Linked DNA regions of Arabidopsis thaliana. The protein of the gene in region 2 interacts with the protein of the main gene of each other region in a biochemical or structural test. Each region holds a gene or a part of one and is shown on either strand. Other genes may lie near its edges. The genes, in order: AT5G44310, MC9, CPN60B and AT1G29350.

Evidence for each region.
Region 1: of the proteins of MC9 (region 2) and AT5G44310, one has a biochemical effect on the other in vitro, tested with the Arabidopsis thaliana proteins (one large-scale study listed by BioGRID).
Region 3: of the proteins of MC9 (region 2) and CPN60B, one has a biochemical effect on the other in vitro, tested with the Arabidopsis thaliana proteins (one large-scale study listed by BioGRID).
Region 4: of the proteins of MC9 (region 2) and AT1G29350, one has a biochemical effect on the other in vitro, tested with the Arabidopsis thaliana proteins (one large-scale study listed by BioGRID).

Annotation. Positions count from the first base shown.
Region 1 is NC_003076.8:17,847,257-17,851,333, forward strand, and holds AT5G44310 (Late embryogenesis abundant protein (LEA) family protein), read right to left. Parts: upstream 2,281-4,077; 5' UTR 2,181-2,280; coding exon 2,037-2,180; intron 1,769-2,036; exon of another isoform or gene 1,630-1,768; coding exon of another isoform or gene 1,594-1,629; coding exon 742-1,593; 3' UTR 525-741; downstream 1-524. Other genes in the region: AT5G44306 (uncharacterized protein), read right to left, coding at 1-116.
Region 2 is NC_003076.8:1,151,989-1,155,564, reverse strand, and holds MC9 (metacaspase 9), read right to left. Parts: upstream 1,826-3,576; 5' UTR 1,673-1,825; coding exon 695-1,672; 3' UTR 525-694; downstream 1-524. Other genes in the region: AT5G04210 (CCCH-type zinc fingerfamily protein with RNA-binding domain-containing protein), read left to right, coding at 75-510; PKS4 (phytochrome kinase substrate 4), read right to left, coding at 3,231-3,576. UniProt on the Arabidopsis thaliana protein: Cysteine protease that cleaves specifically after arginine or lysine residues. Does not cleave caspase-specific substrates. Required for proteolytic processing of GRI.
Region 3 is NC_003070.9:20,715,051-20,721,087, forward strand, and holds CPN60B (chaperonin 60 beta), read right to left. Parts: upstream 4,212-6,037; 5' UTR 4,019-4,211; exon of another isoform or gene 3,632-4,018; 5' UTR 3,624-3,631; coding exon 3,408-3,623; intron 3,310-3,407; coding exon 3,184-3,309; intron 3,105-3,183; coding exon 2,967-3,104; intron 2,885-2,966; coding exon 2,789-2,884; intron 2,705-2,788; coding exon 2,462-2,704; intron 2,347-2,461; coding exon 2,112-2,346; intron 2,025-2,111; coding exon 1,855-2,024; intron 1,767-1,854; coding exon 1,689-1,766; intron 1,602-1,688; coding exon 1,530-1,601; intron 1,448-1,529; coding exon 1,343-1,447; intron 1,269-1,342; coding exon 1,176-1,268; intron 1,089-1,175; coding exon 996-1,088; intron 904-995; coding exon 780-903; intron 681-779; coding exon 667-680; 3' UTR 513-666; downstream 1-512. Other genes in the region: ZKT (protein containing PDZ domain, a K-box domain, and a TPR region), read left to right, coding at 13-72, 161-301; ECT4 (evolutionarily conserved C-terminal region 4), read left to right, coding at 4,697-4,724, 4,975-5,051, 5,129-5,273, 5,366-5,421, 5,520-6,037. UniProt on the Arabidopsis thaliana protein: Binds RuBisCO small and large subunits and is implicated in the assembly of the enzyme oligomer. Involved in protein assisted folding. Required for proper plastid division.
Region 4 is NC_003070.9:10,267,902-10,275,384, forward strand, and holds AT1G29350 (RNA polymerase II degradation factor-like protein (DUF1296)), read right to left. Parts: upstream 5,921-7,483; 5' UTR 5,713-5,920; coding exon 5,532-5,712; intron 5,150-5,531; coding exon 5,106-5,149; intron 4,696-5,105; coding exon 4,578-4,695; intron 4,496-4,577; coding exon 4,381-4,495; intron 3,868-4,380; coding exon 3,338-3,867; intron 2,979-3,337; coding exon 2,741-2,978; intron 2,652-2,740; coding exon 2,366-2,651; intron 2,152-2,365; coding exon 1,987-2,151; intron 1,777-1,986; coding exon 1,285-1,776; intron 1,187-1,284; coding exon 860-1,186; 3' UTR 520-859; downstream 1-519. Other genes in the region: AT1G29355 (uncharacterized protein), read left to right, coding at 6,147-6,148, 6,493-7,189, 7,414-7,483.

The DNA.
Region 1 (4,077 bases), about 17 Mb from region 2:
AAGTGGTTTGACTCAGCATGATTAAGAGTCTCACCATGGTTCGAGTAATTGGTGTACCGTCTTGACGGAGATGAAAACTTATTTGGCTTCTCTTCCTCCCAATAAGAGTATCTCATGGGAGCTGAATGAACAGCGGATAAGTTTCCTCTCCCAGATTTGGATTTCTATAAGATACTAATCTGGACGTGGCTCTTCCCTGATCTTGAGAGTTGACCCACGGTCGAAACAGGATTTGGTCTAAATGTCTATCCCAGAGATCATGCATTTGGGTTAGAGAATTGAGGTAATATTAATTACTTTCTTTTCGGTTTTATATATGATAATTGATAAGAGTCATAGGCTATAACGATTTCGAACCCGACGCCTTCTCATAGGGTTAGGGTTCTGCCTCGTGAAAAGATGCCACAAGGCAAAGTTGAAGAGACAATTGGCGAAGAAAGGATTAGTGAGTTGTCTCAAGGTTTGCTTGTACTAATATTAGTTGCCCAAATCCAGTAAACTTGTATTTAGGAACATAAACTCATGATGGAACGATGAAGCGCCATCTTTACTTTGAAGATATCTTTCTGATCTTAGCTTATTTTTACACATCAACCTCAAAGCCAAAGGAATGTTTGATAAAACCTTTAATACCCTACTATAAAAGTTTCTCAAACAGAGCTTTTAAAACATAGAAAGATGAAACACCACCTATAGTAAAATAACAACAAAAGAGAAAAGGTAACAAGATGATCAGTAAATTTAGAACCTCTTGAAATCATCATCCTTATTTCGATTTTCCTTCGCCTTTTTCGACAAATCTTCCAAGCCCTTATCAACATCATCCCTAGCCTTATCCGCCTCCTCACCGGACCCAACCACAGCCTCAGTCACCTTCTGAGCCGTGCTCTTCGCCGTCTCCCACACATCTTTCACAGTATCCATAGTCTTCTCCCCAATATCTTGAGCCTTTTCCTTAAACCCATGAGCCATGTCCTCTGCTTTCTCCTTTGAGTCCTCTGCATAGTCCTTTGCTTTATCTTTTGTCTCTTCAGCTTTATCCGCAGCTCTACTCGCTCCTTCATTCACTTTATCTTTTGTTTGTTCCGCATAATTCTTTGTCTTCTCCTTCACATCATAAGCTTTATCTGCTGCTCTACTCGCTCCTTCATTCACTTTCTCCTTAGTTTCTTCCGCAAAATCTTTTGTCTTCTCTTTCACATCATAGGCTTTGTCTTTAGCCTTCTCTTTTGTCTCGTAAGCTTTATCAGCAGCTCTACTAGCTCCTTCATTCACCTTATCCTTGGCCTCTTCTGCGTAATCTTTCGTCTTCTCTTTCACATCATAGGCTTTGTCCTTGGCCTTCTCTTTCGTCTCATAGGCTTTATCAGCTGCTCTGCTTGCTCCTTCATTCACTTTATTCTTAGTTTGTTCAGCATAATCTTTCGTTCTCTCTTTCATATCGTAAGCTTTGTCCTTAGCTTCCTCTTTTGTCTTGTGGGCTTTCCCTTTACCTGCTTCTGCGTATTCTCCTGATTCTTCTCTCCATTTTTTCGAATCATATGCCAAGTCGGCCCTCGAGTCTCTCGCTTTCTCTACTGGATCATATCTTCCCTGAAAATCAACAACCATTGATATCTCTTCACACATATTGACCTAATACCAGCTTATTGAATTAACAAGTGTCACAAACCGTTAAAGAGTCTTGTAAAAATCTTATATCAAAAACAAATATCATACTCATTGATCATTTTTCAAAGTTCAGATTCCACTTGATTTCTTGTCAAACACGTTAGCTTAATACCATATTGCTAAATTCACCATCCAAATTATCACACGGAAAAAAACTCCACATATTATAAATAGATACAAACTTTTTATTTTTAAAAATAAAGATCCCACTTCACATATACACAAAACAATTTCCTTCTTTTTTTATATAATTAAATAAAATAGTTTTGAATATCAAGATCATTTGTGAATCAACTAGTTAATTTACACACAAGCATAAAAACCGGTTATGCATCAATCTGTATTGATGACCATATATTAATTACCTTAGAATGGTTAACCGACGATGCAAAAAAGACACGAGAGCTTTTCCGACCAATCGCTACCGCAAGAGTTCTAGGAGCTTGGCTTTTAGGGAAAGCCTTCGAGATCCCGAAGAAAACCGTTCTCGTTAACTGCATAGCCGCCATATTAATCAATCACAAAAACAATTTCTTCTTCTTCTTCTTCTTCTGCTTAATTTAGCTTTACAAAATCTAGTTTTCTGAAGTTTTGGATCCGTAATCTCTCGGCTTGCATTATCTATGTTGCGAACTTATAGAAGCCATTTGGGACAGCTGGCAGTACGAATTCGACACGTGTTGATGTTGTAACACGTGTTAACCAAGTGATAACTAAACTACTATGGTGTGTTATCGAACAAATCTGGTGTCTTATGTCGAGTAGGGACCGTGGGATTAGATGGACGATTCTCAAGATCGACGGCTGTAGGCAACAAATGGGAGAATGCGAAATTCCCTCATGGTCAGGATTTTTTAGAAATATATACATTAACGTTTTAAAACTTTGATAAAGAGACACGATAATGGATAAAAGTAGCATAGGGGGATTCTACACATAAACTTGCATGTTCTAAACAGAGAAAAAAAACAACATTCGAAGTTATCCTTCTATGATAGAAGTTCTATCATCAAAAATTTATGAATTAAATGACATTTTTCTAGTGTTGGTTCAAGTATCTCGCTCTGGTTGCGCTTCCCAATTGTACACATGAAAAAGTGTTATGATTACGATGTTATTATATGATTACGATGTTATTATTCTGCATTTGTTTCCCATAGGAAATAACCCGACTCTAGAGTATAAACGCTAAAGTACTAAACCGAACCCAACCCAAAGTTTTAAAATATTCGAATGGGGTTTAGAAAACTAGAGTCCAACACAAACACAAACCGAATATTTGATCTCTCATGCTTAATTTTGATTGCAGGATATATATATGTAGGTTACTTTGGTTACTAGGAAAAGAAAAAAAAAAGTCATTGTACGTGAGCCAAAATGAAATTTCCATAAGGGTAATTTGCAGGCCACACCCTTTGACCATGTTTTATTTTCAAGGATTGGCAAAGTGAAAGGTGGTTTTCACGTTTTGTCTTTTCAGCTGAAATTTGACCATTTTGCCCTTACTGCTGCAGTAGAGAAACTGTTGAATGTACGGTTTATTTAGTCAGGTTTAGTTAGGTACACTATTCCGGTTTAGTTATAATATTATAAAATTATTGATAATAATTGGTGAGTTAAAGATGAACCCAGGAACAAACATTAATTGCGAACAAACATTGATGCTCAAGAAGTGTTGATCTTTTTTATTTACGAAGTTTGGAGTCAAGATAAGCATTATCGTGTAAGTAATGAAGTTTTAAAGAATTTTTTTGTTATAACATACTATGATCTTCATTGTGTTCAAAATCAACTTTGTTTTTTATAGAAAAACCCAGAAATATTTTATTTTCAATTTTGTTGGTTGAAAATGATAAATGTGTAAATACTTATGTTTATAAGTGTGTATATCGAAATTCTATTTGTTTTTGTAGATATAATCATGTTTTCAGTTGCATTTACTCGGTTTCTCATGAATTTATGATGTTGTTGGGTAATGGATATTCCCGTATTTATTATGGTCGGTGAGGGGAGATGCAAAGAAGAAGAATAGAAATTTAAACTAAAGAAAGACATGTTTGGTCGCTGTGTACGTGTTACGGAAAACATGACGTACACGGAATTTGTACGTACACTAAGCGAGGCTTTCAGTTTGAAGTCCACAGAGATCAATCCCATAATTAGTTACTGGATGCCCAGAGAGATGTTAGTGATGATAGATACTAAACGCCCTCCTGTCTACATTGACAGTCAAGTGGAGTTGAATACGTTCTTTATGATTCGTGGTAGGTATCCTTCTCTCAACTTGTTTGTCTCTTTCATTACAACCGTCAAGACACTCAGGAATAATGTCTCTAGGGCTCATGATGATGATGCTGAAAGTGACCGTGTTTCAAATGTTGATGAAAATAATGAGGCCGTAGATGA
Region 2 (3,576 bases):
ATACATATATAGATGTATATATATTCTCGAGTCTTTGTTTGTTTGTGTGTTTCATGTATTTTTCTTCACCGCAGGTTAGAAAACCCATTTGTACTCGAGGTGCTTGCAAGAGCTTGTAACACGGGCCCTTTGAAACCACCAGAGGATCAAAGTATTAAAACTCTTTACATCCGTAGACTTATTAACTCCAGTGTCCTCGAGCAGGACATCCGAGACCATTTCTGCCCCTATGGTGAAATCGAATCTATTGTTATCTTCCCCCACCGAGGAGGAGGCACCTGTGCCTTCCTCACTTACACTACCCGTCTAGCTGCTGAGAAGGCCATGCTTGAGCTCTCCTCCTGGACTGACATCAAAGGCCAGAGGGTTAAACTCTTGTGGGGACCTACTGAAAAATGGCAGCACAAAATGACTGGTGCTGCCATTTCTTCAACCCAAGAGGTTGGTTCTTCTAGCTCCAATACTGCTGACTTGGTAACTAAATTAGTACATTCTCTAGAAAAGCTTTAATTAAACCTTTTTGTACCATTAAAAAAGATAAATGTTATTAAACAAGTTTTATATGTCCTTTTTCCTTTTAGAGTACACCACAGAGAATAGAAAATACACACATTCCACCAGTTAACAATTTACAACAACCCCAAAGGCAAACGTGATAAAACAAATAAAAGAAAACAACGCAAACGTTTAAAATTCAAGGTTGAGAAAGGAACGTCGCGTCTGCGTTCTGGTCGCTGCAGTAGAGACAAGGGTGTTGATGAAACCCTAGTCTCTCAAGCACATCCCTTGCCATCATCACTAGTTGCTTGTTCTTCATGGCACCTTCATTTTCGTTCAACACCCTTTGAATCGCGTTGCTAAACGCTCCGTACGCTTTCCCGTTCCCAACGCCGACGTCAGCAGACGTCTCATCCGCCTGACACCCGCTCATCAATATCCCTGAGTCCACGTGTTTTTCACGGGCCGTCATAGTCTCCAAAAGATCCATTAGATCCATTGCCGGTAACCGAAACTTAAGACCAGCATCGCGGCCAAAGAGCTCAAGTAGATGTGTGCCGATGTCGGAAGTTGTAATTCCGGTGAGAGAACTCAAGTGGTCAAGGACTGCCTTGAAGGGCAAGGCACGTGATGTTATAGTCTTGTTCGTTGTCTCAATAGCCGGAGATATGTTGCTGGAGACCGAAGAGGGTCCGATCTGTTCTTTCTCCTTGTCGATGAGACCACCACTATGGCAAGAATCAGAGATCATGGTAAAGCTTGTTCCTTTAGGAAGTTGATTGACCAATTCTCGGAAATCAACATCTGTGATGAGATTGAAATCACAAGGAACAATAGCTTCGTCTTGTTTAAAAGGATGAGCAGATTTAACCGAAGGAATACGAGTTCCATGGCCACTGTAGTGGAAGAACAAGATGTCTCCAGATCCGGCTTGAGCTTTATCCACCATCCTACGTAGAGCAGCCTTGATGTTGGCACCTGTCGGCTTTACCTTTGATTCTGGCTCGTCCGTTAGCACCTCAATGTCGTCTTGTTTGAATCCGAAACGTGACAAAATAGTTTCTTTCATGGCTAGAACATCATTGATGCAACCGTGAAGCTCGTTCCTTGTGTTAGGGTAGTTGCAGCCGACGAGAACGGCTAGTCTTTTCTTGACCATCCCTTGTTGATCCATTGAGTTTCTGGATATGATTTCTTAAGGTTTAAGAGGTAATTTAAACAACTTTCTAGGCAAAATGTTTTGGGGTTTCTTGTGTACGTGTGTTTAGTTTTCATGTGCAGTGTTGTGGTTTTGGAGCTAATGTGTATTTATGATTGAGGTTTCGTGTAGTGAAGTTCAAGTTACATACGATATTAGTATTTATATTTTCAAGTCTAGTTTGCTTTTAAGCTATGGAACATTTTTTAATGGCTTACTCTTGACTTATTAATGCTTTCAAGCAAGAAACTAAACCTTAAATCAGACTTTTGAGAAAGACATAATTAATCCTAAGTCATGGATTCATGATTAATTTGGTTAACTTGGATATATACGTAACTTCAAAAGGGAAGTCATTTTCCCAAATATTTAGACCTAATCCATCTAGCTATCTAAGGGAAGAGAGGAGCTAATTAACTTTAAATGCTATGATATACGAATGTATATAACGTATACATTGTTGAAAATAATGTCAATTGACCAAACTATAATTTGCCTTAATCCTAAAGGACCGTCTATATACTTCGTGCACGCAACGGAAAAGTCTTTTTGAGACGAACCATTTATGCTATTAGCACCATCTTCACTTCACCTACGAGCCTAACTCTTGACTTCATATTTACAAGTTATATCCCCAAAAAAGAAATCAAACTTTCAATGGTAAACTCTTTAACAAAATAAAAAGCATTCAAATTAAAAGATAAAGCTTTTAGTAAACGAAAGACTAATCAGAAATTAAACGTCTTCATCAACTGAGAATTTTTCTTTTTGGTTTTATGTGATAAAAACACATGCTGGATTATGTTTTTAACAAATAAACAAAACTAAATCGATGACCAATACTACAGTCTGTTTATTGCATAAAGTTGTTTATATTCCTATGCATGCATTTATTATCTCTTGGGTAACGGCTTGGAATCATCTCCCAAGTTCCCAACTCGTGATAGATTAAGGAATTGGGGCATGAATATTCTTGAAATTTTTGTCTCCTCTGTAATGCACCTGAATCCAAGAACCACTTGTTTTCTGAATGTACCTACAACAAAGACACATGGGGCATCTTCTTTTGCTCAATTCAGCCCGCCTACAATCTTTGAAGATTGATGTTTCCATGGGACCTCAAAGAAGTAGTGGATGAGGTTTCTAAAGAAAGAAATCGTATAACCAAGTGTTTTGTGGTCCATTGGTTTGTTCGAGTGGATAGAGGATTCGCTATGTGGGTCAAGGCTACGAATCTATTTCTTGACTATAGACGCCTTAAATACAACATACAAGTATTGAGGATTAGTTTGGGTTTCACTCCGGGATTTACTCCGGTTATTACAAAAAAATGTGATCAATATTGTGATAAATACAGGACACATTGATTTTGTTTACTTCACAAACCATAATCTTCATTAATCATTACACAAGTTATATTAACCAAAAAAAAGAAGAAGAAAAAACAGAGCAATTTTACACGAGAAGCATCCAAAACACACCAAGATAACTGGAGAAAACCGGATCTAAACCAAGAACAAAGATTTGGTATCCATCATTGCCTTGGTCTACTCGTCACGCTTAGTTTAGAACTGCCATTGTTGCACAACACCTTTCCCGCGACGTCGTTTTGAACACCAACGCTCTTAACCGGTTGCACTAAACGCTTATCGCCGTTAACCATAACCGCCTTCTCACAATGACAGTTCAACAAACCGGTTCTCTTCTTATCGTAACCACTAAATGCTGTAGACGATGACGACAAGGCAATTCTTGAGAAGTTAGCTGCAACGGCCGAGGCCGGCTCGGCGGTCATAACGCTCCAAGTAACACTTGCTTCGCTTGGCTCGTAACCGTACTCAGACACGGTCTCTTCCATCGAGTCCCGTACTGGTGGAGCC
Region 3 (6,037 bases), on a different chromosome or scaffold from region 2:
TTATTTTGATAGGTTCAAGCTGGTCTCTCGGCTCTGGAAGAAGCATTGAAGTCAGGATATGAAGATTTTAAGGTAAGTCCAAGGAGTTGTAATGTTTCAATTGAGACAGAGAGAAGGATGGACTTGTTTGTTGAAGCTGTGTTATTTGTTTTGTTTGCAGAGAATCAGAAGTGATCCAGATCTGGAAACTCTCAGGAAGTCGAAGGATTTCGATCCACTTCTGAAGCAATTCGACGAATCTTTCATCAATGAGAGTGCCATTAACGCCATCAAATCCTTGTTTGGCTTTAACAAGAAATAGTTCACCTAAAGTTTGTGTCTTTTGATGTGATCTGTTCATAGCTTCTCTTCTCTTCTTGGCTCTATACATACTTGTGAGGAATTTTATTCGATCATAAATGTGTTCTTTTTTTCTTAAGAAATTCTTTTAACCATTTCATTCAGTTTACGTATACCATTTCATATGAAGTGATAATAAATCTTCAAATCTTTGGATCAAAAGTTTCATATTTGGCGATTTCGAGATATTTCGAAGCATTGAGGGAATCATGATTTATTCATATGATGATTAATTCAAAATTTCAGTTTCACATTACACATTCTCTTGTTCAAAATCATTACACTCGCAAGCTAAAGTAATCCGTTTCAATATTAGCCTATCTCCTCTTAGTATCCATATCCTGAAATAAGAGAGGCCAACAAGATTCAGCAATGAAACATGAATATTGAATGCGGGGGATCTTTACCAAAGACTCAAGTATTTGAAATTCTGAACAAACCTGAGTTGTCCATTGGGTTGCCGACGGGAACTGGTTCAGGTTCCTTGATCTCAACAACAACGCAGTCCGACATCAAGAAAGTCTTTGCAACCGAAGCTGCGTGTTCCAAGCAACATCTCACAACCTAAAATCAAGATAAAGCCACTCAGGTTCATGGATCTTTGATGACCAATTTAGCTAGCAAAGACAGTTTCTGTATATGCACAGAAAACTTACCTTTGTTGGATCGATGATTCCTGCAGCCATCAAATCCTCGTACTTGCCGGTTGCAGCATTGTAACCGAATTTCACGTTATCGTTGGAAAGCACCTGCCAATGAATAGAGACATCTCTTCAAGCATCTGACTTGAAATCTAGAGATAAAAAAGTGGGAATTATGTTATCTGTTGTTATTACCTTCTCGCTAACTACACTTCCATTAACACCAGCATTCTTGGCGATTAGTTTTAGGGGGTAACTTAGTGCTCTTTTAACTATATCCGCTCCAACCTAAAGGGAATCATCAGCAAAGTTAGAGAAACCGAAGGTTCATGAGTTAAAATCTGAAGACTTGATTGATTTACCTTTTCTTCATCATTATCAAGCGTGGCTTTAATGGCATCAACCTTGGAAGCAAGACGAAGCAGAGTGCAACCACCACCAACAACAATACCTTCCTCGACAGCGGCCTGAAGAATTAAAATCCTGATTAGTTATAGTTCACGAGTATGCAAATAACACGCTTCTCAAGCCTCAGAAATACAAAATCACCTTTGTTGCATTAAGAGCATCTTCAACTCTCAACTTCTTCTCTTTGAGTTCTGTCTCAGTTTGTGCTCCAACCTTTAACCAATACATAACGAGCTTAACTTAATATCTCTGAAACACATCTTAATCAGACAAAGGAAACTTAAATAGTTTTTAGTTTACCTGAATCACAGCAACTCCACCAGAGAGCTTTGCAATTCTCTCATTGAGTTTCTCCTTCTCGTAATCTTGCTCCGCTTGCTGCACAAACCAATTACCATTGCAATGTAACTACACTATCCACAAAAAGTAAAAGAGGTCCCATATATGCTATACTCTTTTACTATACCTCAATAAGATTTTTAATCTGTGTAACACGCTTTTTCACTGCATCCTGTGTGCTTCCATCACCCACTATGGTCGAGGTCTCCTTTGTGAGGACAACCTTTGAAGCATTACCAAGAACCTCTTTTCCAGCTTTGTCAAGTGAAAGACCAACTTCCTCACGGATCACAGTTGCTGCAAGCGAAGATAGAAAATTAGGACAAGATAAAAACTACAAATATATGCGTAAACATAGGGCTCATCAATGCAGACAGAACTTACCTCCAGTTAGAATGGCAATATCATCAAGGTATTGGCTCTTGCGCTCTCCAAACCCTGGAGCTCTGAGAGCTGCTATCTTCAGTGTACCTCTAAGCTTGTTTACAACAAGAGTCGCTAAAGCTTCTTGTTCAATGTCTTCAGCAATAATTAATATTGGGTATCCGCCTCTAATTGCATCCTCCAAAACACCAACAAGATCCCTTGCATTGGTAATTTTCTTGTCAACGAGAAGTAACTGCAATCATACCAAAACATTAAAGATCGTTGTTATACTCATATATAAATATCTTTAGTGGCTAAATAGTCTGCCAACAAAATTCATCTTCTACTCAGATTCAAGAAACATCTACCTTGCAATTGTCGAACTCGACGGACATTTTCTCGCTGTCTGTCACAAAGTAAGGAGAGATATAACCACGGTCAAATTGCATTCCTTCTACGACGTAGAGGTTGTTCTCGGCACTTTTACCCTCCTCAAGGGTCACCACACCTTTCCTGCCCACTTTGCTCATTGCTTCAGCAATCATATTTCCAATTTCGTCGTTGTTACCCGCACTAACAGCTGCAACATCTGCAAGTTCACTGTCTTCAACCTACATCGACATGACTTACATTCAGAACCTTTTGAAAAAGACTCTTAACATATTAAAAGAAAGAGAGTTCTATAAATTTGAAACCTCCTTAGACATTTTCTTGAGCTCGGTAACCAAAGCCTTTGCTGTCTTCTCAATACCTCTGGTGATCAAAACAGGGTTTGCACCAGCAGCTACCACCTGAATAAGATAATCTTAAAATTAGTACAAAAGTTTTTGAAGTTTCACATAGAGAAAGCTGAAAGAAGAATGTTACACAGACCTTGACACCCTCAGCGATAAAACCTTGTGCAAGAACAACAGATGTTGTTGTACCGTCACCAGCCAAGTCATTGGTTTTGGCAGCCGCTTGCCTCACAAGCTTAGCGCCAATGTTCTCAACCGGGTCTTCCAACTCAACCTACAGGAGAAAGTTTGAAACTCTAAGACTCAGTTGAATGAGAACAAAAATCATTATCAGAGGGGTAATAATTCCATACCTCTCTTGCAACAGTCACACCATCATTAACAATTCGTGGTGATCCATACTTGCTCTCAAGAACAACATTTCGTCCTTTGGGTCCAAGTGTAACACCAACAAGATCTGCGAGCTTGTTGACACCAGCCTAGTACAACACAAAATTAGAAACCACAGAAAATGTAAACCTTTAGCTCCGGTTTGGGAATGAAGTTTCCATTAACTTTTTTTAAAAAAGATACTTACTTGAAGTCTCCTAATGGTAGTCCCATCTTTGTTGAAATGTAATTCCTTTGCTGCGCACACAATTGCAGAACTGGATCTTCTGGGTCTAGGACACACACTTTGTCTCCTTCCAAATGAGCTTGAAGACAACTTGCTGATAAGTTTCTTATCAGATTTGTGACCATTCGGAGCAACCATTGAACCAATAGAAGATGTGGCAGTGAAAGTTGACGCCATTTTATCCACTTCAAAGACAGACAAAATTCAGCACTTAGATAAGATTTCAAAGATATAAAAAAGACTCTTCTTTTCATCTATATACGGTTAACACAATCAATATAACAGAAAGAAACAACAACCCAGTAAGCTAAAGTAATAAATTTTCACAACAAACCAGAAGAAAGGCGACACCTTCGAAAGCAGAGCTCAATAAGAACACAATTGACAATCTGAAGAAACACTAATCCATAAATTTTATTACAAAACACCCAAAATCATGGAAGTAATGAACTAATACAAGTTTTCAAAAGCTTACAACAAATTCTTATCCAAACAAAACATACACACATAAACTGTGGCACTAAAAAATGCAGAGGATAAACTATTCCAAGAGTAAGGATTAAGAAACTAACAGAAGTAGAGAGATGACGAAGGAGGTTTTATCACCGGAAGTTTTTGGTTTCCGGATAAGAAAAGGGGAGCTGAAGCAAGGAAAGGAAGTAGGTTTATCTCCTTACTCTCGCTTGGAAGGTGCTTTTAACGTTCCCTTACCTCTTTCAAGCTTTGAGTTAATCTTGGCCGTTGGATTCAACTCTTCGGATCCTGGATCAGATTTATATTGGGCCTATTTGGGCCTTTATTCTTGCTCCTTAATTCCTAACAATGGAATTGGAATCAGTGATATTTATTTTAAAAATTGATTTTTTCCCGATTAATTGCGAAATTTTCGAGGAAATAATATTTATAGTATTATTTTGTGAGATATTTCGTAGTGACTAGTATAATATTAATGTGGCTGGAATAAAGGAAGTATTTTAAAAAAAAAACGATGGAGAAAAAGGTAAACAAAAATAATAGAAAAATATAAAAAAGGGATCTTGGAGGTATTTGAATCAAATCGAGGTGAACGAACAAAACCACTTTTGCCTCTTCCTCTTCTTCTCTCTTCTCTTGCGGCTACGATTCAATCTCTTAAACCCTAGATTCCTTCTGAGTTCTTTTTTGCTCTGATATTTGTGTTTGTCTCAAACTCTTATTGTTCAATATCCGACAAGGATCTATTATCAGTCTTCGCTGCCAACTCTGTTCTCATGTCTACTGTTGCTCCTCCTGCTGATCGTATCCTTTGCCTTTGTTTCTTTTCTCCTTCATTTCTTTTGTGATCTACGTTCATGAATCTAGTTGCTTCATCGTAATTCGATTCATATAGTGAAATGATGTCATTTCCATTTGTTCTGTTTGTTTTAGCTCGATGAATTTGACTGTTCCTGTAGCTAGCAAAGTGAATAAATTGATTAGAAAAATCAATTTTTTAGTCTTGCTGAAGATAGAAACCTATTTGTTTCCTTCACTTACATTGTTTTTTCAGAAGCTGCTGATGTATTGAAGAAACTGTCTTTAGATTCAAAGTCTAGGACTTTGGAGATCCCTGAGCCTACTAAGAAGGTAAAGTTACATCTTTTAATGTCTCTGCACATTTTGTTACTCCAAGCAGAGTTCTCATAGCATCATTATCTTTGCAGACGGGTGTTTACCAGTATGGAGCTATGGATTCGAATGGTCAAGTTCCTTCTTTTGATCGATCTTTGTCACCTATGCTACCCAGTGATGCCTTGGATCCTTCTGTTTTCTATGTTCCTAATGTGTATCAGCAGCCCTACTATTATGGTGATAATTAAGTTTCATTTATATATCTTCAGCCTTCTACTGTCTAGAATTATTGTAATATCTATAACACAACCGTTTGTATAATCTTTCAGGTTATGGGAGTGACTACACAGGTTATACCAATTCCGAGAGTGTTGATATGACATCAGTACGTGCGTTAATATTTTCTTATAAGCAACTCGTGTCCAGACTATTTAGCCTCTCTTTTACCTTTTGCCCTACTTAGTCATTTGGTAATCACTCCAGGGAGCTTACGGAGAGAATGCATCTCTTGTTTATCCGCAGGGATACGGGTATGCTGCCTTTCCTTACTCACCAGCAACAAGCCCTGCTCCACAACTTGGTGGTGATGGACAGTTGTATGGTGCTCAGCAGTACCAGTATCCTTTTCCTCTCACAGCCAGTAGTGGGCCTTTCGCTTCGTCTGTTCCTGCCTCTACTCAGAGCAAGCTCTCTACAAACAAAGCAGCCAACTCTGCATCTGCTGGTATCCCTAAAGGAATGAATGGATCAGCTCCTGTTAAACCATTGAATCAGAGTGCACTGTATGGAAACAGTGCTCTTGGAGGTGGTCTTGCTGCTGGTTATCAGGACCCCAGGTATAGCTATGATGGGTTTTACACTCCTGTGTCATGGCACGATGGCTCTAACTTCTCAGATGTGCAGAGGTCTGTTTCTGGCAGTGGAGTTGCATCCTCATATTCTAAGGCTAACAACAATGTACCTGCGACTAGGAATCAAAACTCTAGCTCCAATTCGCATTA
Region 4 (7,483 bases), on a different chromosome or scaffold from region 2:
TGTCTTTTCATTATGTCAATATTAAGGTTAAACTACATAAAAATTATCCAACGCACAGATTGTTATTTAAATCCGACTGAAAGTTTGTGTGTATTGACATTTTCCACATAACGAACTTGGAATTTTGGAAAATATTTGAGTTTTTTTTTTTATGTGTATAGTTTATTGACATTGAAACTTTTAAAAAAATGTGTAATCATTTCATTGCAAAATCCTTCTAGCTTTGTCGATAAGAGGTACGTAAAATCCATAGAGAGTGTTTGAGTTAATAATTTTTTTCCCTTTCTCTTTGTTTTTTTTTGTTCACATCTCTATTGTGACAACGTTAAGTGTGATGTAATCTGATGTCTAATCAATAAGAAGATTATTCAAACACTAAACAAATTCTGATAACACTAATAGTAAACGAACTACATTCAAAACATTGACTTGACTCGAAGCTCACACATGTTTGCTACCTAGAAAACTTAGACTGAAAATAGATTAGATCAATCAATCCAGACGTTGTGTCCACAATTCCTCCATTGACTTATACAGCTGGAGAGAAGTTTGTAACCTAAGAAAATTATAAATAATTTTTTCTTTCCACAGATGTATAAACAAGAGAAGAACATGCTTCAAAAATCACGTTGAGCCCTTAGACAAGAGAAGTAAGAAGAGGCAAGAGTTAAAAAAAAAAGTTTCATTTCTGAAGTTGCATTGATGAAATCAGAGTTGCATGTTCCCTAAGTTAACAGAGGAGACAAAAGATGATGATAAGTTACATTTTAGAACACGACCATATTTCCTCTTCAGACTCGCCACACAAACCTCTATAAGCGAGAGAAAGAAGCTGAAAAAACCCACTCTCTTTCTTTATTTAGTAAGAGTTTTGCCAGAGCTGCTGCTGAGATTGATTCGACGGTTGACCAGCCTGAGACCCAGCACCATCCCTAGGGTTTTGCTGCTGGCGCTCGAGTGACATTTCGGTCTGAGACTGATAATAATTTGGGTATCCATGAGATCCATAATGCTGTTGTTGCTGAGCTTGGCGATACCCTCCCGCTGCTTGCTGAGCCTGCTGTTGTTGTTGCTGGTGTTGTAGTTGCAGTTGTTGTTGTGCTTGGAGGTTGTAATACGTGTTAGTCGGGACACCTGACATGGTTCTGGAACCATGACCCTGATGCCACATCGCCGAGTTTTCGTTCTGTATATTTAAGTCAAAAAGAGGAAGAACGTCACCAAAATGGTTCATGCCTGAAACCAAACGAAAGTGGCAAGGAAGTGACCAAAAAGAGAAAGTACCTGTTGTTGATGTTGCTGTTGTTGCTGCTGCTGCTGAAGTGCCAACAGATGATTCTCTTTGTATTGAGAACTAAGAACATCTTCATAACCAAGCGTTGTACCGGTAGTAGCAGACTGTTGGTTAAGAGGGAAGTTTCCGGCAGATCCGACATTGGTCGAGTTTCCAAATCCATAAGCAGAGGCAGGCGCTGTTGCAGACTGAGGCAAATTACCGGGAGAGACATTGGTTTTGTACTGCGGAAGCAATGCAGCTAGTTGCTGGTGGTATGCACTATTACCAGCAAATGTTTGCTGGAAAGCAGATGGCATGTATGGATAATTCTGAGGCATTAGAGGATAACCGATCATGTTTGCATAGTGTGTTAGAGGTAATGTGGGTTGAGAGTAATGCATTGGAAGCTGCTGAGGAAGAGCAGGTCCAGTAGCGATATTAGCACCAGGTAGTGTTTGCTGGGTTGGCTGTGTTGCCGGAATTCCACTGCCTCGGAGCGCCTGCAATGTAAAAGAATATAAAATCAAAATCACACACGTTTCACTTGTAAAAGAAGATTCAGATTTCGAATCTGAAGAAACTACTGCCTTTGGCTAAGTAAGCAAAACAGTACCCATGTGACAACTAACCAGTAACTACTACTTCTGAAAACAAGCTAAGAGAAAGAACTATTTCAGTCCCGTGTTTCTCAAGGAGAAAGAATTATTTACCTCTGGCATTGAAATGCTTTGGCCACCAAGTGATGAGGCATTGTTGCTAGTTCTTGATTGCATAGACTGTTGAGCTGAGAAAGGTGAATACTGGAAGTCAAGTTCCCTCGCATTTTGTGCTGTTTGTGCCAATAAAGTGTTGGGAACTGAGTGTGAATACCCCTGCTGAGATAAAAACATACAAGAACTAATGTTAACATTCAAGAATTTCATGGGAATCACTTCAGAGATTACTAAGCTACTCTTCCAGCAAAAATATAAAAAGCCTGATTGCATTTTAAAAAGAAAATTGAGTATCTTAGAAGCTATCACAAACAACTATGATTTTCAAAACCCATTGAAACATGGTTCTGTTATAAAAAATAAACATGTAGCTTACCATCACATTTGATAATGAATCAAGATTATGCATCTGATTCTGTGAATTTGTGTGTGAGGCATCATATGCAGAATTCATCTGCTGCTGCTTAGCATTTTCATACGCATACCCTTGCTCAGACTGGGTAAATGTGTACTGGTGCTCCTGAGCGCCCTCAGAGTTTTCTTGCTTCAACACCTCTCGCCTCGTTTCTAAAGAATCATCATAATTTCCAGTAGCAGGTGTGTGGACCATATTTCCATTGGTTGTACTTCCCAGATGTTCATCTCCATAGAACTCAGTATTTCTGCAAACAAGTATGATCAGTTGGTAAGTATGATATAAATGAAGTCCATAAAAAGTTTGGAAAAAGTAATCAGTAAACACGAAATATACCTTGCATCTGAATGTTCGATTTGTGGAGCTACATCAGAAGTCGCTTCTACGCTGTTGCTCAAAGGCCTTGATCCAAAACCTCCAAAGCTTCCAAAACTTAATTGCGCGCATTCTTCTGTGTGAATTAGCAAATGGTTTGGAATTACAACAGCAGGTCTATCCTCTTCATGTGAGACTTCTTGATCATGACTATCTAGTTGTTGAAAACTGGCTGAACCAGATGAAACATCATCTTCATCTGAAAAGTAATAATGAGACAGTGAATAAAAAAAAAACATCAGAAACACCAAAAGATCCTCATAAGGTATTGATTTTCGAATACTATATTTTGTAACAAAACATCACATAATGAGAATCACTCTACCGCCAAAAGATAGTTGAGAAAGAAAACAGAGCAGGCAAAGTATAGTATAGTTTTATGACAAACAAAACAGCAAAGAAGCTTTCATTACCCCCCAGCAGAACTATAATCCCATCTGTATTCACATGATCAATAAACACAAGCCCACTCCAAAATGAAACAGGAAAAAGAATTTGAACATAATGGCACACACTAGCAATAAATGGGAAACATTTTATAAAGATTCAAAATATTACCTTTGTGGTGCTCTACTGGATGGCTCTGTGTCTGATATGGATTATCATCAATTTCTGACGAAACTACAGATTCATCTTCTTGAACAGAGTCGGCTTGCACATGATCGACCCCACGACTTTCAGACGGGCCACTTTCTGCTATATGAATATTTTCTAACCGGTCCTTCAGATATTGATCTCCTCTATCGGATTGGAAATCAGCTAGACCATTGCGTACTTCTGATTCTGCTGGTGCTACTGATAAAGAAGATGTACTAGGAGCCAGCGGCTTCTCAATCGACGGCCATTCATCTTTAACAGGGGCCTGCTGATTTGCATTAACTTCGTGTTCATGATTTATCTCAGAACCCACATTGACATTTTGCTTTGTTGTCTTGTTCTGTGGTCTACCCATCTTCACAACTTCAGCCATAGACCTCTGGCCTGGAGCTCCAAACCATGCAGTTTGATGTCCAGAAGCTGACTTTGATGATGATATTCCATCTCCCAAGGTAACAGGAGGCAATTTGTTTTCCATAGCAATGGGTTCACTGCAAAAGATAAGTAGGATACATGAGAAACTTGTACAACCCAAATAGAAACATGTACAAAAACATAATCCAAGGGAAAAAAATGTCAAATTGAAAAGGCTAAAAAAGAGAAATGAACCACTACCTACCAGTACTTCTCTAGTTATTGGCTCAAATCTTTCACAAACTAGAGACTTGTAAAACTAATTGTGATATTCTACTACCTACCTAAGCCATAGGTCATATAATTACTTTAACCAATCCAACTTAAGCTTTGTATTCTAATGTAGGAAAGGGCCTAAGATCAAACAAATAATCACAGAGTTTTCCTATTTGGTGATATCCCTTAAGCACATCATAAACTGGGAATTTTGAAAATCACTACTAGATGGATCCTACTAATACAATGAGTAACCATATGAGTAAAATATGAAATCAATTAATTGATTCAATACGCAGCACAGAACTTCCACTAAATATTTCAACAGCATCCCAATTCCCATCTCAAAAGTAAAGAATCGCTCAAGGGGAAACCTGTGTGGTGTTTGATAGGTGTTCGCCACTCCAGAAGCAGAAGACCAAGAACTTGTATAACCCTGCGTTCCACTTTCTTTCTTATTTGTAGATTTTCCCTGGAAGTTTCCAGAATCTGAACAACAGAAGCACATAAGCATGAATCTTACGGTTAAAACTAAATATATATTTGTGTATACAAGAGATCATGCTTATACCAGTAGAGCTGAAATGGGTAGATCCACTTCGTCCGGCGTAACGAGCAGAACCACCTCTAGCACCACGGTTGTAGGTGTTATTAGCACCACGCGGCCGAGAATCTGATATATCCCTAGTCTGAATAGACAAAAAAAAACTTTTAAAATCACCAAAATTCTAGTAAATTAAAACGATTACTAGCTAAAACTAGAATTCATTTCACTCCAACAAAACATCTAAAGTCAGGTACTACATAATAACTAGCTAGACCTAGACTTCATTTGATTCCAGCAAAACATCTAGAGTCAGGTACAGCATGATGATTGATGACAGCTAGTAATAAAAAAAATCATTGCCAGATGTGTCAACATAGAAATTGTGTACAAGAAACAGAAGTTGATTGTATCACACATGGTTGAAGCATGTAATGATACAGAGATTGTGCCATAAGTTTGCACTTAAAACGCCAACACTGGACACCAAAAGCACACAACAAAACACCCCTGGGTCTATTATCCATAAGAATACGATTTGTAACATGGACTCACCTCTTTCTTCTTTTCTTTCTTGCTCTTTACCTCGTGAAATGGATCTGAATAAGGAAAAAACAAGTATCAATATCATTAATAATAGAACAAAGACAAGCCTTGAATCAAGAACTAAGAAAGCAAACCATTAACAACATCTTTCTTCTCTATAAAACCGAACCAGCTAGAAAGTTGGACAATTACAAGGGGAACCATATTAAAGGCGACAGCTTTAGAATTGCACAATGACTAAATTCTAGAAACTAACAAAAACGAAAGTATTGGTCTGTTCAGAATAAAAACCCCAATCAAACCCTAATAGAAACCCTTAGTAATTAAGTCGATTTCGAGAAATCCTCCTCGGGATACATGAAAACCCCAGGCCCAAATTAACAATCCAAAGACACAGCAGCTCAAACAAATAGAGGAGGAGGAAAAAGGAGGAACCTTGAGAGAGGAGGCGACTAACGGTTTCGTTAGGATCCATATTGCACTCTTTAAGCATAGCATAGATCTCAGCCTCAGGAGAGTTTACAATTTCCGTCAAGCTTTGTACTATTTTTCTAGACCCTGACGGAATATCCTGAATTCCTTTCCTTGCTCCGCCGCCGACCTTGCTGCTGCTCATATTTATCCGCCGTAAGCTGCCTCTCTCTCTCTCTCTCTCACTATATCGGATCTGAAGGAAATAAACGAAGCTTTTGTGGCCTTCTCTCAGTCGCGACGACAATACGAAGAACACCAAGGAAGCTCAAGGGAAGATATATCTCTCTCTGTAGAAAACGAAACCCTCTCCAGATTTTTTCTTCACCTTATAGAAAAAAAAACAACTTTTCTTTTCCTTTTTTTTTCCTCTTTGCCTTTTTAAATTTGAAAAATTACTGAACCGGTTCTCTCGTTTAAACCAGCAGTGCTAAATTAAACCGAACCAAAACCACATTGCCCAAGGATAATAAAGAACGATTGATTTGGGTTTATATCGCTTCCGATGAAAGATTACTACTAGTTTGGATTGCAACTTTGGACAGAGTTAAGCACATGAACTTTCTAAGTAAAAGAAGAATGTATTACAAAAAAGGTTAGAGACAAATGAACCAAAAAGATACACTTGTTTACAAGAGAAGAGAAGAAACAAATAAAGAGAGAATCGCAACTGGGCTTAATAAGCAGATTCCTCATGTTTCCGTTGTTTTCAGTTACCTACAAGTCTTTCAACTTTGTCTTGTTCGATTTAGTACGACAACAGTTTACAAAAGTTGTACATCTCCAATCTTTAAAATAACACAGTCACTAGTAAGGCAGATGAACCCTTGAGATTCCGCAAAAAGACTTAAATCCCTTCGGGTGAGCTTGTTTGGGTATCTCTCGGCTCCAAGAGACTCTTTAGGTGGTGTAAGCTTTGTCATAGGATCTACAACGAACAAGAATCTTGTCCTTTAAACCTTGTGGCTCAGAAGGAGACGTTACCGTTTGAAAAAGATAATGACAAAAGCTTGGGAAAGCTGACTTCAGGGAAGAAGTTAACTCTTTCTACTCCTACTGCAACTCTCCAGCTCAGCACAAATGGAAGGATTCACCCTTCGTGGTGGAGACCTGACTTGGTCAAGCCAACACAAGCTAAAGAAGACCCAACAACCTCTGACTACCGCAGGAGAAAAACAGAAGGCAAACAAGTTGTAAATGCTAATTCTAAACATGCTTGGCGTCGTATTGACAATTCTCGATCTCAGAACTGGAACCCACCTGCAAATGCTCGCTACTCAAATCATCATACGACTAGGGATGACTCTCAGGGCTATGATCGACGAATTGAATGGAGCACAGCTTCAATTCCCCGAACACGGGAGAAACTTATGAGACCTTCAGAGATTAAGAACCCTTCTTCAGTCCGCGAGATCCCTCCCTTTAAGGATTCAGGTCGCAAAAGACGTTATGATGACACTCTGGAGAACCATAATCACAAGCCATCCTCATCAAAAGAAAGAGCTGTGACCCGCAGGATGAACCAGAACAAATCTCCAGCTGCAGCATCAAAATCTGCTGGTTTATCCCATGTCTCGGACTCGCAATTGACGGTCTCTGATCCTTTGATCTCTTCACTACGAGTAAAACAAGGAGTTTCTTCTCAAGCTCTTAACAGAGAAAGACCTTTTCGCTTGAATCTGAAAAAGAGAGGCGACTACATTCAATTGAAGCACGTGATCGCCTCTGAGAAACTTACTATTGGGGAAGCTCTGCAAAGAAAAGCCTAAACTTTGATACTATGACACAAGATGATGAAGCGTTTGGTCCTCGTAATAAATCTGACCTCTTGGTTATATCGAAGCAGCTGGACAAGGAGAAGAGTTGGTATGATCAAACTGTGGAAGAAGAGGAAAATCATGCTCAAGAAGCTCCTT